Linked DNA regions of Saccharomyces cerevisiae S288C. Changing the gene in region 4 together with the main gene of any one other region gives a genetic interaction. Each region holds a gene or a part of one and is shown on either strand. Other genes may lie near its edges. The genes, in order: NRG2, YCT1, CBF1 and NRG1.

The links.
Region 1: of NRG1 (region 4) and NRG2, changing one enhances a phenotype caused by changing the other (phenotypic enhancement), as found in Saccharomyces cerevisiae (3 studies listed by BioGRID).
Region 2: mutations in NRG1 (region 4) and YCT1 together harm fitness more than expected from each alone (negative genetic interaction), as found in Saccharomyces cerevisiae (2 studies listed by BioGRID).
Region 3: mutations in NRG1 (region 4) and CBF1 together harm fitness more than expected from each alone (negative genetic interaction), as found in Saccharomyces cerevisiae (3 studies listed by BioGRID).

Annotation. Positions count from the first base shown.
Region 1 is NC_001134.8:369,231-373,414, forward strand, and holds NRG2 (Nrg2p), read right to left. Parts: upstream 1,470-4,184; coding exon 807-1,469; downstream 1-806. Other genes in the region: Pre-mRNA-splicing factor ECM2, read right to left, coding at 1-448; TIP1 (putative lipase), read right to left, coding at 2,873-3,505. UniProt on the Saccharomyces cerevisiae protein: Transcriptional repressor.
Region 2 is NC_001144.5:27,979-32,934, reverse strand, and holds YCT1 (Yct1p), read right to left. Parts: upstream 2,827-4,956; coding exon 1,231-2,826; downstream 1-1,230. Other genes in the region: YLL054C (uncharacterized protein), read left to right, coding at 1-262; YLL056C (uncharacterized protein), read left to right, coding at 4,630-4,956. UniProt on the Saccharomyces cerevisiae protein: High affinity cysteine-specific transporter. Major contributor to cysteine transport when cysteine, at low concentrations, is provided as the sole sulfur source.
Region 3 is NC_001142.9:546,288-550,694, reverse strand, and holds CBF1 (Cbf1p), read right to left. Parts: upstream 1,937-4,407; coding exon 881-1,936; downstream 1-880. Other genes in the region: MNN14 (Mnn14p), read right to left, coding at 1-184; protein kinase PTK2, read right to left, coding at 2,452-4,407. UniProt on the Saccharomyces cerevisiae protein: Required for chromosome stability and methionine prototrophy. It is involved in chromosomal segregation. Binds to a highly conserved DNA sequence (5'-RTCACRTG-3'), called CDEI, found in centromeres and in several promoters.
Region 4 is NC_001136.10:541,636-545,784, forward strand, and holds NRG1 (transcriptional regulator NRG1), read right to left. Parts: upstream 1,735-4,149; coding exon 1,039-1,734; downstream 1-1,038. UniProt on the Saccharomyces cerevisiae protein: Transcriptional repressor involved in regulation of glucose repression. Binds to UAS-1 in the STA1 promoter.

The DNA.
Region 1 (4,184 bases), on a different chromosome or scaffold from region 4:
CATCTGATGTTGCTCGCAGAAGTATATTTTTCAATTTATCAACGATATTATCTGCTTCTGACGGATCACTCGTAATCTGAGCTCCTCCTAATTTCACGTTTTTTAGTGACAGAAACCTTTTCATCATGTCGTTTTTTGCTTCCTCCGTCATAACGTTTTCCTCGTTCACAAGGGATATTAAATGATCCCGCAGTTGTATAGGGATGTGCCATCTTGAATCAAGCATACAGCATTGACAAATGTTTCTCTGAGTGGCGCACCGTACACATATTAATGTTTTAATGATATTATTGCTTCGTTTAGACGTCTTAAAATGGTATAAGGTGAACGGTAAGGTACAAATCTTACATTCAGAGCCTTGTGGAATTTTAGTCATTCGTATATTAGCCTCATCACCTAAGCACTGCTCACATATATTGGGCGGTGGCTCATTAATTTCATCATTCATTATATTAAGGGTGCAATAACTCTTTTCCGTTAGCTACCTTCTATTCACCTGCTCAAAAGCCCTTCCATCATCATTACCACTTCTATCAATAAAATTTGCCATAGCATTTCTTTTTTTTTTTTTTAGTCCTTATTGCCTAAACGTCATCACAGGAGAGGGTAATCCCGGAATGAATAAGGTTTGAAACTTCACGTCCCTCCGGGTTGTGACTTAAAAAAATTACGAAAGAGAACCGACTATCGTTCCTGCTATTGTTCTTGGTGAGTATTACTAACCCGCTTAGTTTTATTACTATTTATCAGTCTTTTATTTGTACGTTATTTGAATATTTAAATGTTTTTGGCTGAGCTCACTCACATCAACTGCTAGCCTCCCTCCTCTTCCAGTTTCTTTTCTTCTTGTTTGCATGAGTTCGATAATGCTGATTACAGTTATCATGTCTACTAAACCTCTGTCCACAGCCCTCATGCGGACAGATATGATTTTTTTCACCTGTATGGATTCTGTTATGTCTTGAAAGATGACCAGAAGTGGTGAACCCAGTAGAGCAGATCTTACAGAAATGACGAGTCCTCTGTCCTGCTGTATTGGTTTTCGTAGATTTCAATTTTATCACGGTTTTTGTCGGTTTGCTTATTTTAATTGAGCTATATGGATCTGATTTACCGTTACCGGTATTCTCTGCTTTTACAATATTAATATTTTGCAATGGCAGTATCGGTGACGTTTTTCCACTTGCTGTTAATCTTGAAATAGTCCCGTCACTCGTTCTGTTCGCTTGTTTTCCGGAGAAAAAATCGAAAGCGCACTTATTCAATTTATCTTTCAAGTCATCATCAATTAGATGTGATGTTTTCATCAAGGGTATCAGGGTTTGGTATTTCCTTTCATTGTTAAAAGAGAACATTTCAGGCATAAGAGTTATCTGGGAGGGCGAACATTCGAAATTGATGGGAAATTCACATTTCCTATCTTTAGCTAGAATAGTTGACATCAAGTTGTCTTTGTAACCTATGGACATCTGGAAATTTTGTAGAAGCTTTATATTTTTTGTTCTTCGAACAGTAGCGAGTGCTCATATGACTTGGTGCCGGAAATTCATTTGAGCTGTCATAATATGATAAATATTTATATGTAAAAATTTAGGCCAGATAATATATAAAAGATAAACGATTTAAAGAGGGTGTAGGATTTGCCTGTTAGCGATGTAGGAGCTACTGCACGATGTAGCATGTAATAGCCAGACGTGATTCCCCTAAACTCAGGCCCTTCTCCAAGGAGAATGCAACGGTAGGCAGTTCGTTTGAAATTGAAACTTTTCTCAACGACAATGATGTCCCGCAGCATAAGAAAACATGAGATCAGAAAAGCGTTGCAAAACGCAGAAGCCACTTATCAAGAGCTACGGCTGCGCGTTTTTCTGGGACGTGCTGACAAACGAGAAAAAAGATGGCTTTGTATTCAGTTCAAGGCCCTGTGTATTTTTTTCCTTCAAGAAATTTTTATTTTGGCCTGGGGTCTTTAAACGGACGGGTGCCCTGAGAGTACTCTCGCATAATCCAGGGATGGCTTTTTCACAGTCGTTTAACATTCGTTTATGAAGTAAAGAAAAAAAATACCAAACCCCGTTAAAAGAGAAAAAAGGTAGCCGAACATTGAAGCAGCCCATGCCAGTTTGTCCTTGGGCAGATAGTTTTCCGTCTGGCTTGAAAGGTTATAGTCTCCTTTTTTTCTTGGCTTCGGGAAAAATACGATTTGTTTGTTATTCTATATGCAGAGCCGCTGCTCTGCAGGGATTTATGATCTCGAGTGCCATTGATCTTGAAGCATCTTTTGTTGAAAGGATTTGTATGACATCATACCCGAACTTTTTTAGCACGTGAAAATGGAGAAGTCTATGGTTTTAGAGGTTGCTATTAAGGCATTTTCTAAACTTGAGGGTTGTTTGATCTTATGTTGGTTGGTTGTAAGCCAGCCGGTGTAGCCACGTGTTAAATCTTGACTTTTTTTCCCGAAGAGGGTCTGGTCCTGTCTATTTTGTTTCATGCATATTTTTTCTCAAGGAGAAAGACTCTTCGCTGCGCCTTGGCATAATAACGTCTTCGGTAGGGTCCATTTTTTTAACGTTGGCGATGCCCATATTTAGCTCGTTTGGTCGTTCCTTCGAAAGATAATCGTTCGTAAATTAAAAATAAAAGAGAGTAGTTTTCGAGCAACGAGTAGCCAGCTGGTGCCAATTGTCAAGAAAGGAAACATTTCTTACGGATTGGGAAGAAGCACTAATCTCGAAAAAGAGAACGTTTTTAGAAAGTTTTAGAAGTTGATTATATTAATGAAGAAAAAATTTTCGAACTAACAATTACATAAAGAGAAGGTATAATAATGGAGGTAATTTTTCAAATATTTGTTGTAAAAGGTTCCCTTTTATAACAATAAAGCAGCTGCACCTGCAACAACAGCACCGAAAGAGGCAGCGCCTGCATTGACTCTTTGACCGGCATTGGAAGCAGTTTCGACTGTAGAAGTGCTGACAGAAGAGGTAGTTGGAGCGACAGAAGAAGAAACGGCCTTAGAAGATGATTCGGCAGATGATGATGGGGCAGCAGAAGAAGATGGGGCAGCAGAAGAGGATGGAGCGGCAGAGGATGTAGCTTCGGAAGAAGATGCAGCCTTGGAAGAAGATGCAGCCTCGGAAGAAGATGCAGCCTCGGAAGAAGCTGGGGAAACGGAGGCAAGAGCAGCAGCGATTTCAGAACTCAATCTTGTGGTGTACCATGGCAATTTAACAATTGTCTTAGTGATAGCATCAAAGTCCAATTCACTAAACAAGGTAGTGTAAGCGTCATCGGTGTAAGTCATGACTTGTTGATACACACTCAAGACATCAGATGGAATTTGGAATCCACTGTTGCCAGTTTCTAGACCCAAGTAGTCAGAAAGATGAGAGTTGATGTCACCGATAATAGCTTGCAATTCAGCAGTTTCGGCGGCGCTGGTGTCAGCGACGGCCAAAGAGGCAATGGCACTTAAAACGAAAGCAATCTTGGAAACGGACATTTTATTTTATTTAGCAGAGGGTATAGTTATGCAATAGCAATTATTGTTACTGATTGAATGCCTTTATAATTTCGGTCCGAACAAAGTTAGGCAAGCGAGAATAATTGACGTTTGAAAGAGGGCTGCCAATGTACTATTTATATTAAATGGTGAATGAAGCAACGCAGTACCTCAAAGAGGTTGGAGACATATTCACCCTTACAGCAAACCTTTTTTTTCCTTTACTGGAAATAGCTCGAAGAATTGGAGAGAAAAAAAGATGCTTTTAGAAAATAAGACACATTTCCCGGAACAATCAATTATTTCCATCACAATCTTTGAAAGAAAGGGCCAAACCGCCGCAATAACTGCCGTAGGATTCAAAACCACAAGTACATTCTTCAACGGAAAAGAGTCGGAAAATCGGAAAAGGGACCTCCCGAAGACATTAGTCTCATAATTAAGGTTATAGTCAAGAAAAACCATAACCAGATCGTCTGATGCTCTTTTTGGGAATATTGATTACCCAATAAGGTCATTACTCCAATTTGTTGGGCTCCATTGTGTTGAGTATCGGTTGCTTGGGTTTTGAAAATCTTGCTGCCGTCCGGCTGCATGTGTGCGCCGCAAGTGCCGAGAAAGTAATTATCAATGTGGATCGCAAGCCAAGACAATAAATTTGTTGTTTCTGTGACTATTT
Region 2 (4,956 bases), on a different chromosome or scaffold from region 4:
TATGGGAAGGGATAAGTCCTTTTCGTTCACATCAAAATTAAACAATCCACAATTCTTGGGAAGTCTTGATTTGGAGATTTTGGAAGAATTAGAAAAACTCATTTCCGCACAAGAATTTTCCAGAAACTTCACTGAAGATGTTGACGAATCTTTACAGAGTGAAATTGACCTCATGAATTATGACAATGAAGCCTTGAATCAACTAATGGCAATTGATCTTGATAAGCTACTTGGAATTTTCCCTAACCTGAGTAACTTTTGAGGGGAATACAAATTTGAAAGATACGAGGAGAAAGTTAGTAAACTAATGCTACTTTTAGTCTTCTATTTTTTTCGCAAGCACGATCATATAATCAATACCACACAAAGATTTTTGGTAGCTACGGTCCTAAGAAAATTAAATTCCCTCTCTAATCTGGGTGAGACCGGAATCGCATCAGGTCTTATTAATATGGGGTCAATTTGAAGAATTCAAACTATTTTTTAAACTGTTGTGACAATTCTTTAGCACAAAGAGTTCAATTTTGAAAATCTACCAATGTATATAATTTTTGCCGTTGTATTAGACAGGTTGTGCTCACTGTATATAGTCTCATTTAATAAATTTTTTTTTTTGAAGTGCAAATACCCTCAGTTGACATTCCAAGAACTATGGTTACCCACGAAAAACATCAATATGTTTTGAATTGTTATGTAAATTATCATTTACAAATTTTCTGGGCATATTGCATACCGAGGTATGTAATTTCAGCAAACTCGAGTGCTGCTTTCCATCCATACGGACAACTCAAGAACAAATGGGTACAATATAGTTGTCATTATTATGGCAAAAATATTGAGGGTTCAAAGGTTTTGCGTATTTTAACCACAGGCTAGAGGGGTTACTAGTCTCTGTCTTATAAAATGTTAGATTATAAAGTACAGAGAACAAATATCTACATGTTTTTTATGCTAAATTTGAAAGTTTAGGTGATTTATTTAAGAAAAACTAATCTTTAATGGACTTTTACCGGCTGTTTTGAAGAAATTGTCAAGAAATTCCTCTATAAATTTATTCAATTATCTATTATTTTCTAAGCAGTAAGCTATTTACCATTGTAAATGATTCTTTGGGAAATTGTGCCTTTCAAAGAGACACAGTTCCTCTTTCTTGCAGCCGGAAAGTTTAAAAAATTAATTTTCTAATTATTAAGTGTCAGATAGAACATTTACACAACAAAACATCAATATTTACAAAGGATATATAAAAGTTTCGTTTTCTAAATCAGTCAAATCAAAGACTGCCAAATTGTTCTCGTGGGTTACCACTTTCCCTTCTTCAATGGAAGAAGGATTTTCGCTTTCAATGAGTTGAATTCTGTCCAAATAATTTTGTAAATTTTCGTCATAATTTTTTAGTCTTTGATTATTCCTTCTTTTTAGTATGAAATGGATCAGTAACAAAATGGCTGGTGCAAGAGAGAATGATAAAACGATTTGAACAATCCAGGCAGGTAAAAAGCGAGGAGAGTCCTTCTCTCTCCATATTTGTGGTGATATGATATTAGCAATTCCCATCGCAAATAAGGACACCGAACTTCTTGTGAGTTTTTTGGTGTACCCAGATGCACTTGAACTTGCCCAGCTAAGAGCTATAATAAAAGGAATACCAAATATTTGTCCTGCCATACAGATATTTGCTAAGATACCAATCTTATTGTCCCATGGTAAAGCAGCTGCAGCGATGGATCCCACCAATGCTGGTAAAGTCCAAAAGATGGCTGTTAAAGCTGAAATATTTTTCCATTTTGCTAACATCAACGTAGCGATGAAGGCACAAACGACGGCGAAACCAGCACCGGCAACTGATACCAATGTCGAACCTAGAGCATCAACTCCACCCATTCCTTCAAATAGCAGGTTCTGTTGATAGGGCAGATTGTTGGCTAACTGTTGAAGAAGAAAAAACAATCCAAATAACCAGGTTATATAATCTTTCATTGCCTCTCTGAATTGACTCTTTTTGAAGACTTTTTGTTCAATGGAAGAGCCTGTGGATGCCTGAACTCTCCTGATAATCCATACCCTTTCTTGTATTGAAAAGAATTTCACATCAGCAGGATTATTAGGAAACCACAGAATTACAACAACCGTCATGATAAAAGTCAAACCACCAATGATGATAGTGAATATTTTCCATAACGAAATGCTGGGATTTGTTATATGAAGAACACCATAAGCAATAAACCCAGTTGGAATTGGAGACCCCATACATGCTGCAAAGAAAAATGGCTGAGCAGCAGCTCTTTCTGAAGCATCGAAGAACATACCCATAGTGGTAATTAATATCGGGATAACAACACTCTCTGTTAGCCCCAAGAAAAATCTCAACGCAACGACACCGGAAAAGTTGTATGCGGTACAACTTAGGAAAATAAGTATAGTCCATGTGGCCAACAACCCACCCAAGAATTTCCCAAGTGGTAACTTTTGAGCCAAGTATTGTCCAGGAAATTGGCCGATTGCAAAACCAACGTAAAACAGCGTATTTACAGTATTGTAAGTATTTTGGGTAAGACCTGTATCTTCAAAGAAGCCTAGAATCGAATCATAGGATAAAGTGGCTTTGTCCATGTAAAGTAAAAGGTTAATGGCAGAGACAAAGGTGAATATTGTGAGAAAAAGCTTTCTCTTTAATTTTTTTTCTTGTTCAGGCGTGATTTCTGGAACTGCTGCGTCATTCTCCTCCATGAATGCTAGCGTAACATCAGCGAGTCTCGAAGGAACTAGGATTTCATCAGAAGAGGAGATCGAGTCTGCTCCAATTTTTACGTCAACTTTTGACATTTCTTTTTTGTTATATTTTCTTTTTTATTTTCTCTTGATGTTTTGTTCAACCTTCAAGAAGTGCAACCTGAATAGCTAAATGTCGAATCAATCGTCTGTTTAAGTACTTTGATTTTTCCGACCTCTTCAATTCAACAGGTACGCATTTTTAACAATACCTATTCATCTTGACGTCCAGTTCCTAGGGACCTGCGAAATGTTTTAGCTATCTACATATTACATCACCGTTCCAGTGAGGGGAGCCACCGTAAATGGAAGAACTTCGAACACTATTGCATGCTGCAAAGACGTGCCTTCGATGCTCAGTGACTGAAATGTACAAGGGGTAGCCAGATGTCTTACATCAAATGGGGTGCCTATTTTTTTTTTCAGAAGCCACACATTTTTGTTTCTGCAATGCCACCTGCGACTTCGAAAAAGATTCGCGGAGAGTTAACAGTCATCGCCACAAGTCTGGTCCTTATCGGCCAATATGGGTGGCGCTATGTACGTTGTGTCACACTATTTTAGTCAGCAGCGCAGACCAAAGACTCCGTAACATCACAGAGAACTTTGATTATCCGTTATCTTGTTAAGTTTTCGCCGCAAAGCTCGGATGCTGAACTCGGATGTTGAACTCGGATGCTAAGAAGATATCCGTGATTTGCATCCGAGCTTGGCGTACTATTGCTATAGTGGTAGCCACAATTTAGAATTGATACTCGGAACCAGCAAGGGGCAGATGGATTGAATGTAGTTGATCGCGTGTCACGTGACCAAATCGTACTGGTAAAGAACTGAAAGCACACGCAAGTAGACAAAATCAGCATGTCATTTTTTCTGAAGAAATCTTTCATAAAACTATGAGTCTTCCCAATCAGGTGTGGTGAATATCCAGATGCTCTGGCCAATCTGTAACATGGTGAGGCTTAAGAAATTTTTTACATACTGGTCAGAGCACGATTGATGGTGCCATGACTTTCCGCTTTCGCCATTGCGAAGGGTGTTGCATAGTGTATACAAAATGCATGATACATAACATCTCAGAAGGACAGATATGAAAGGCCTAATTGTCGGAAGCAAAAGTCAGAGCTCACGTCCATACAATTGAGTTGTGCTGATTAAGGATTTCAAGGGCGAGCGCGCATCTAGTTAGCCGAAGGAAAGCGGGCTTGGCATCTGGAATCTGTTCATTTTTGAAGTCATATGATTTTTCATGCCATATATTTATCACAACGCAAAGCATTTACAACCAAGTAACCAATGAGAACGGTGGCCCCGTGATAAAACCTCACGTATGACACACTGGAACATAATTTTATTGTTTTTCACCTCTTAGTGTTTTCTCTTTCGCGAGGCAAAATCTGAAGACATGAAATGCAATACTCTTATGCTGCGCCAATGACGGTAGCACTAGGGTATTGTGACGTTATGCAAAAAGAGAGAGAAAGAACAATATGAAAATAGAGAGGACGGACATAAGTCTTCCGTGGAAGAAAGAAACCATCGTTTTTGCAGATGAGATTCTTTTTCCAATGCGGAAATTAGCGGAACTTCTCAACATAATAGATTGTGCTGGAAAAAGTTTAAAGGGAAAGCCGCGGATTTAATTTGCCATTAGTTCTTGGCTTTCCTGAAGATATGATTACTAACACAAGGATATTAAGGAAAAAAAGTAGGCGATGAAGACCCTCAAGTACTCAACTAACGTATAAATAACGGCTCCCGCTTCTATCAACTATGCTTACAATCACTCTTGTATTCATAAGCGCTAAGGCGTGATAACTCAACTTTTACAAAAGAAAATAAAAAAGAGATCAAAAAATGAAAGTATTTATAACTGGTGCTTCTGGCTTCATTGGTTCTGCCGTATTATCTGAACTAATATCCTCGGGTCATGAAGTTGTTGGCTTGGCAAGGTCAGACGAGGCTGCTGCAAAGATTAAGTCGATTGATCCTGCTGCAAAAATCCTTCGCGGTGATCTCAAGGATCTGGAAATTTTGAAAAAAGGTGCCACTGAATCTGATGGCGTTATTCATTTAGGATTTGTGCATGATTTTAAAAATTTTGAACAGTGCTGCGAAATTGACCGTCAGGCCACTGTAGCTATGCTAGAGTCACTTAAAGGTTCTAACAAGCCTTTCTTATAT
Region 3 (4,407 bases), on a different chromosome or scaffold from region 4:
GCGGTTTGAAAAAGAGCGCCATGAATGACTTCCAGTTACCGTCAATAATCGACGAGCGACCGCCCAATACAAATATGGTAATGAATAGTAACTGGATAGTTAGAAGAGTAATGATTATCTTTTTAAAGTGAAGCCGCAGAGATCTCAAAACGTACATGGAGAACCTGCGCAGTGATAACATCATTGGAATTGTATCTTGCTTCGCTTTCTTTTCTCTTTCTCTCTTTCTTTCTCTTCCTCTCGTTTAGACAATCTCAATGATTCTAATTCATAAAAATAAACGTTGGTTGTTTTCCAGAAAGTAAATAACAGTTGTTGTTAACTATATAAGATACAAATAGCGGAATGCCAGACTAAAGACAAGTGCACTCTTACTTGATCTTCGTCCAATGTTTCTTCTTAAATAATCAAGCAAAGCCCCAAAGTAGAAATAGGCCCGTGATTGTCGCGGACCTTCAAGGATGTGACGTTTTTGCCTGTTTTTTTCAGGTAATCCTCTCCACTACTATCTTTTTTCTTTTCTGCGACCCAAAAAAAAAAAAAGGAAGGGAAAACTAAGATTTTTTGATAAAAGGCGGGAAAACGGAGGTTGTGCGTATTTCTCTTGGCGATTTTTCCATTGAACGTCAAAAAATTCTTGGCAAAACTTTTTTACTAAGCCATTTAGGGATGAAAAACAATAACGTACAAAGACATATTTGAAAGTCCGTCCCGTCCTCTTTTACTTGCTGAGTTTGAGGCTGAGTGATTCTCTAATACCATCCGGGCGGTTTCAAATATGCCGATGGAATATTGATAAAAACTTAACAGAGGTGCTATGGGGCAGAGACGCAGATACATAGGGAGACTCGAAATACATTTAGCTATCTATTTTTAACTCTCAAGCCTCATGTGGATTATCGCTCCTAGTGCTTTTTCTTTCGTTCTCTTGTTTCTTGTGAGTGTGCATATCCTCGTATTCTATTCCCTCCTTCCTTAAAACGCGTTTCATGTACTCGATTTCTTTGTAAGCATTTCCCAGTTCTTCCTGCAGTTTCTCATTTGCACTGGCTAATTGCGATGCGTTTTGCTCGCTAAGCAATTTTTGTAACGTCCACTTTTCGATGTTTGCTTCATCGGTTTCTTTCAATTTTTGAATGTATTCAGCGGCACACGCCAATATTGCTGCCTTACTTGATTCTCTCACGGGCAGGAGGTCGCTTAAAACGTTGATTGCAGTGTTGATGTTTTCGCGGCGACGCCTTTCGACTTCTTTATGGGAGTCTTTTCTTTGCTTTTTCCACTCGTCTGTTGTGGCCAAAGTAGTAGGTTTTCTTCCACGACGACCCGGCTGCATGCTTATATCCTTTTTGAGATCAATGTCAGCGTCATCATTGTCTTCATCATCCTGTTGGTGTTCTGGCCCACGATCGTGTTCTGCCAATGGTATGAGCATGTCGTTTTTAGATTGCTGTGTAGATTCCATTGGTGAAGACGTCATTCCCTCCAGGGAGGTGTTTGGCTTGACTCCTTCATTTGATGGGGTTATGGCTCTTTCCCCATTAAGGGAATCCTTGTGCTCACCATTCGCGTTCGTTTGATTAGATGTGTGGGCATCAGAACTATCTTCCTGGCCCTGGATTAAGTCTGTATAATTGACGGTAGCGGCAACAGCAGCCTCAGCCACTGACGCATCTTCGTCATCACTTCCTTTCTCATCTTTGTTAGACGTCAGTCCGCTTTCATACTGACTTTGAGTCCCTTTTAGCGTAGCCCCTTCGCTCAACAGAGCAGAGTCAATATTTCCGTCATTGCTCTCTTGTGACAACAAGCCTTGATCTCTTTGCTTTTTCCTGGCCTCGCTGTAGTTCTGCTCCTCGTTATAGCCTCTTTTTCTTGCCGAATGGATTTCCTCATCCTCAGTAGAAAGCTTATTATTATTTGCCAGAGAGTTCATCGTTAATAAAAGTGTAGAAAACCGTATTATATTTTAAGCACTTGATGTTGGTACTTGTAGCAGAAATGAAAATGACCGCCAACTAAAATGATTAATTAACAAAGTGTTTATCTTTAAGGTATAATGGTTTACATTCTACATTAAATAAAAAAACGTGATAAGCACGTGGATAATTGTTGTTTGCCCAATACTTTTCTCGTCCGATTTTATTTTTTTTTTGACCTTGGTGGGTGAGACATGGTGGTCCCGAAGGATCCGAGAGGAATGAGAAAAACCGATCACGTACATCGATGTACGGGAAAAATAAATAATAAAATGTTTGTTTATTGTTTGAAGTAAAATATATAAGTACATATGTGGATTTATATGTGTGTGCTTTATTTCATTGTTTGATTTATCTTCCGTTCTTTATCTTTTCCCGGTGGGATATTTTATATAAAAAGCTTATAAGGAAGGGTATGAAAGAATATGACGATACTAAAGCATAAAAGAGGGAATTAAAGAAGTCCTAACGTCTATCTTGAGATAAAGGCGCTCACGGATGACATGTTTGTAACGCTGTTGGTAATGTCCAAGTGGTGGTGAATTACCTTCTTCTTTTTCGAGGATGACACGCTTGGACTTCCGAGGCTTCTCAGTGAATTGCTTGATGACGAAACATTCGGTGCGCTAAAGTTCTTTGTAGAAGCCGGTGTTTCCGATTTGAGTGATAGGTCGCTCATACGCTTATCTAATTGAGTGCCAGCCTTTGCAGGGAGCGGAGTGGGGCCATTATGTGTTGGTGTAGTAGGGGTGGAGTTTAGCATCGACTTTAATTCCTTCATTGTGGAATCATCTTCGCTTAAGTTGTCCTCTACTTTTGTGGAGGTTGGTGTTGGTTTTTCCAATATGCTGTCCACATTAGTCGTGGTAGCCTCTTCAATGACTTTGTCCTTGTCGCCGTTCTTGACCTCATCTTTCTTCAAATTTTCCTTTTTATCTTGCTGCTTAGGTTTGGTGCTTTCATTCCCCCCTTCATCCCCAACATCGTGTGTTTTGGTCTTTGCGCTATCTTTTACCTTGGATTTTTGTTTCAAGGAAGGAGATTCTGCAATTTCCAACATCGATCTTGGTTTAGAAGTGAGCGTTTCCTTTTTTAGGAATGGATTAGACGTGTGAATGACCTCTTGATCATGGGGTGCATCTAATGAATTTTCACTAAAATCATTGGTAGAAGTACTTTTCCTTAATTCAGGAACCCTTACTAAGTCATCATCATTTGGCTCGACACATGTTTCAATTTGTTGGAAAAACGGATCATTAAATAAATCATCCATTGTATATCTAGTTGCAGGGTTCGGGTCAGCCAATCTCCATGCGATACGCGTGGCATCAGTATTCTTGAAATTTCTTGCTAAAGAGTATTCGGAACCAGGACCCGGCTTGTGGCAGCCCTTGTCCCTGAAATGTGGGTTTTGATGATTGATGAAGTTGTCATATGACACTTCAAATTCCCTGAATCTCGCATCAGTGTTACAAGAATCGATGAAGGGGATGATATTGTTAATCATGGTAATCAGCATGATTCCGAGGGCATAGGAATCCATGGCCAACGGATTATAGGGTTTTTGGAACTTTTCGGGGTAGTGCTTCTTGGCATCGAAGTACATTACCTCTGGCGGAGTGTATGGTGGAGAGCCAATCATACCTTGGCATGTTTTCACTGGACTAGTGTAGTCATGAGGTATCACATGGTACCAATCAGAAATACCGAAATCCGTCAATTTGCATATACCTTCTTTAGAAATTAAAACATTTTCGGGCTTCAAATCACGGTGAGCAATACCATTGTCATGACAAAACTTAATACCTTGGGCCACTTGTTTGAAAAGACAATATTTTTCATTGAAGGGAACGTTCTTCCAGCCTGTTCTTTCCATCAGTTGGAAGAGGTCCTTAACACCTAGTTCCATAATAAACCCCCAACCACGAGTTGTATATGTGGTCGTGGGAACTTTTAGAAGATAAAAAGTATTCGTGATGTGAACGTTATGACTTAAATGCTTAGCTATGATGAATTCTTTGGAGCATCTCTTGTAAAACTTCTCGGGTGACTCGTGGTATATCATATTCAGTTTTTTTAGAGCGTAAACATCCTTTTGCCTGTAACTTGATTTAACCTTTCTAACTTCACTAGACCCACCCGAACCAATAGGTTTATTGTCCGTATCAAATACGAAATTATCCGTTAAATGGACACTATATTGTTTCATATCTTCGGGCAAAAAATCGTTCGGATTAGCAATTGGAAGGGGCAACATCCGTATCTTGCTGTTACCATCATGCATGTAAAAACTCAAATCGTTCTCCTTATTCGTATTCAGAGTGTCTGCAAATGCAGTATCTGGCCTAGCATGGTTTGGGCTTATGCCGTATGGATTATAAACTATATTCTCGTTGGGAAAATGGTGACTAGCCATGCTATTAGACCT
Region 4 (4,149 bases):
TCCACCTATAAAGGATTCGGACGAAGAAATTCATGTTGTTGTTGTTATAGGATATCATCATATATATTTTCGATCACTCGCCAAGAGAATGTATAATAAGGAAAAAGATACCACGTTCTTCTGAACATGTTCAATATCCTTTCTCCTACTTTGCTCAGTACTTGAGCCCCATGCGTTTACATGATTTCAAAAGATATGGAGCTGAAGCCTTTTGTCTTGGCCGAGGATATGGCACCTTTTATATGACCGTATGGAAGACGTAGAGTGGATGAAAATTTTGTGAAAAAAAAAAGCTTATAGGAACAAAAACATCCTTACATCTTCGGGTATTTCTTCTAGGGTTGAAGTATAATAATTAACTATACTATTGTTCGGAGACAGTTCTGATGCCTAGTAAAACGCTTGCAGCTCTAAAAAAATTTGTCTTATTTTTTTCTTCTTCAATGAGCTGTTACCATTGCTGTAAGAGATGCTCGAAAGGTAGTACCTTCAGTGAATTATCTGACGTACATCACGTGAACTGTTTTGCGTAGTAAATTGTTCAACGATAATATATCGTTGTTAGTGATCAAAAAGTAACTATGCAAACTGCAAATGTCAAAAAGCCACAGTTTCTAAAAGAAAAGCAATGAATGAAGAAGGTTTGGGGTTGTAAATGTTAATGCAGCGACGTCTGTTTTTTTGTTATGACAGGAAGTCAGGAGGTAGTCACAGTCTCGTATTAAGCAAAAGTGGTCTGTTTAGGTGGCATAATAGCCTTGTTGCAGCACTACTTGCTACCGAGGCGCAGCCTTACAACTAAAATGTCCAGACATGATCTTAAGCGGAAGGGAGGGGTTTTTGCTTCCGTTTTTTTGACATTAAAAGTTTTCTTAATGCCGCGCGTTTGAAAGGAAACTGATCTGAAAGTGATTTATGATGCCAAAAAAAAAAAAAAATCTTTTGAAGTACAATGTATGTATGCATGAGTTTATAAAAAATGATGTAAAGTGCGGAATAGTAGTACTGCTAATGAGAAAAACACGGGTATACCGTCAATTATTGTCCCTTTTTCAAATGTGTTCTATAGTGTTGCAAGCAATTATCATGTCGACTGAATCGCTGCGTGCATCCCTTATACGGACAACAATGATTTTTTTCGCCCGTATGAATTCTATTATGCCTTGCTAAATGACCCGATGTAGTGAATCCTCTTGCGCAAATTTTGCAAATGTATTTGCGCCTTTGTTCAAGGTCTTCCTCATCTGATAACGTATTTCTTGGATCTGTTCTTTGCTTCCGCGTTTTCAGAGAGTATCTACTATTTGCCATCTTATTATATGCATCATTAGAAACTATTCCGTTCTCAGGCTGTTGTATTATTGATGAATTACAAGTTAGTTGTGATAGCGAGCTTTTTTCGGATGAATCTGAATTATATTGTACCGATGAATTGTCAAAAGAGACGCTTCTTGTTTGTAAATTAGGCGTTATTAAGTATTTTGGCTCCCACTTTTCAGAGCCATTTTCTGATTTGGTTTGGTATCGGAAATCAAAAGCAGTCTTATTTAATTTGTGTTTTAGTTCATTCTCTACCACATGAGAATTAGTTAGAACTGGTAGTAGCGTCTGATATTTTCTTTCCGGGCTTATTTCAACGTTTTCTTCATCTTGCATTCCATCAAATGCGGAGATTCCCGGCAGTGCGGGCATAGTAGAAACATTGAGGTTACTATAGTTATATGGGTAAAACATTGCCTGAAAGTTTGCGAAGGGTAGTAATATGCTGGTCGAGAGGAACAATCCAAGAAAGGTGAATGGTAGAAAAAGGCGCCGTAATGGTAGGAATTACAGTACAATAATACTTTGCAGAATCGTATACGATATGATTTTTACTTTCAAAAGCTGCAGAATTCCCTTATAGCATCAAAAAACTGTAAACGAGGTGGAGTAATATAATTTCTTTTAGTTAAGAGATGGGAACCAAATTTTTTTTAATTTGGGTTTGGAAAGTTCTCTTCCTTATATATGAATAACGGAAAAGGAGCCTGCAGCCAGACTGTAGAAAGATGACACTGCCAAGAGAATAATTAAAAGAAAAAACACCCCAAACACCCTGACCGGCGGCGAAGCCCCTCTGCGCGCTCAACGCGTTTCGTTTCACGCTTAAGGGTCCTCAAGAGGCCATAGTCTTTTACCGATAAGAAAAATCTAGACCCAATGAATTTTTCCCTTCTTTTCCGGTGCGGCCTTTTCACTGCTAAACAGTAAAAAGCATTTCTTGGCTTTCCCTGAGGGTGTTGACCGCAACCAAGCCAATACTTCATTTTGCTTTTTCCTCTTTTAGAAAACAGAGTTTTCCCTGTCTCAAACGTTTCAAAGACAAATATGCGGAAAATCAACTTATAAGTAGAAAAATACTAGCGATTTTTCTAGTTAGAATATTTAGGGGAACTATGCGAAGACAAACGGTGAAGTCAAAAGAAACACACTGCCTCGATTAGAAAGGCTTATCTGCCACAGTTTAATTTTTTTTTAATTTTATTTCTTTTTTTTTTATTTAACTAGAATCTGGCTAAAAATAAGCAACGGTCCGTGTAGATTACTGTTTCGAACGAGGAACAACTGAAGGAAAAGTTTTTTATTTTCCGCGAAGTTCGTATATTTTAGTTTTCTTTTACTCCAAGGGTTCGTGACGTCGAATTCCTATCAGCTTTTTTTTGCGCTTGGCGTTCTAGGTCCCTGTGCCCGTCTGAAACTATTCGTACATAGCATTACTAGAGTACATAATATCGTCTACCATACATACGACGGGTAGCCAGATTTTGTGCCGGATTGTCGGGGAAAAGACGGCAAATGAGCTCATACGTAATGGTGCGATTTTGATTCTTAGCTTTCTATTTCTGGAGAAAAGTACTCCAAGGTGGGGAAGGGGGGAGGCTGGGACTAGTTGTTATATGATGTAGCCTAAATGTAACGAGGCGTGGCTCTTTCATCTTATCTCAATGAATAAGTGTAAATTGCCTCGCCTGGTTTAATCTTTTCTCCACATGCAGTAATAGGTATAAAAGGAGTTGAAATTAAAAATAATAATAAATAATGATATAAAAATTATAAGTTTCTCCTTTCGGAACTAAAAAATAATATTAATAATAATATATAAATATTATATCTTTTTTATAATATAACATAGATACGAGTTTTTATGTTCCTTTGGCAATAGCTTTTCGTGACTTGTTTTAAATACAAGGCATATAGGCGCAGCTTCACCAAGATATTCTGGCTTAAACCAGCACTATGTATATTTTGGTGTTTGATACCGATATCGGCAGCTCGAAGCGTTTTTATGAACTGTAAAAATATGTCCTACATAGTTGTTTGGTAATTTTTTGGTTTTTTAAGATTGTTTTATGAATAGGTGTTTTACCAGAAGGCTATCGCCAGGTAACTCTTTTAACTAAATCGAAAAGATTTATTTGACGTGTCATATTGTAAAAACTAAATGGAAGACAGAAACTAACTTTGTCGACACCTATTTTAAACAAGTATCAAACGCGGGCTATAATTTTTATGAGAGCAATCAATGCAATGGAGTCTATTTCCGGTTAAATGGCACGATTGTGCGTAAAAACACGAGAAAGTGGAAGCATCTTTTTCTTAATGACGGATAATTACCCGAAACAGTGCAACTGCAAGTGCATACTCTTGAAGGACTTACATATTGAGAGGGAACACATTACTACCTTTCAAGAACACTCGCATTTACGGCGTACATATGGTTCCGCGGTAGACCCTAGGTTGAATTGAAAACCATGTTTTGAAGGAAAGCAAAGGCAGAATGAGAACATGGAGATGTAAATATTTTCCCAGTTAGGCATGACCCAAAATCGCAATCCAGATGCAATTTATTATGACACGTAGACCTTTCCGTATCTAACGTAATAAACGATATCTATTTTCGAGGCGCTCGACATCTCGTATCTGGGACAGAAAGTGAGGTAGATTATTCAAGAATACCTATTAAGAAAGGTAGAAGGTATTGCACCGATTCCTAGTATCAATTCTTTTCAAAACCACTTATTTTGCAAAACATGCGTCTAACCTGCCATTTCAGCAACGTAAATAATAATTACTTCCATATATATTCTTCTCCCCCAGTAGCAATTTTGA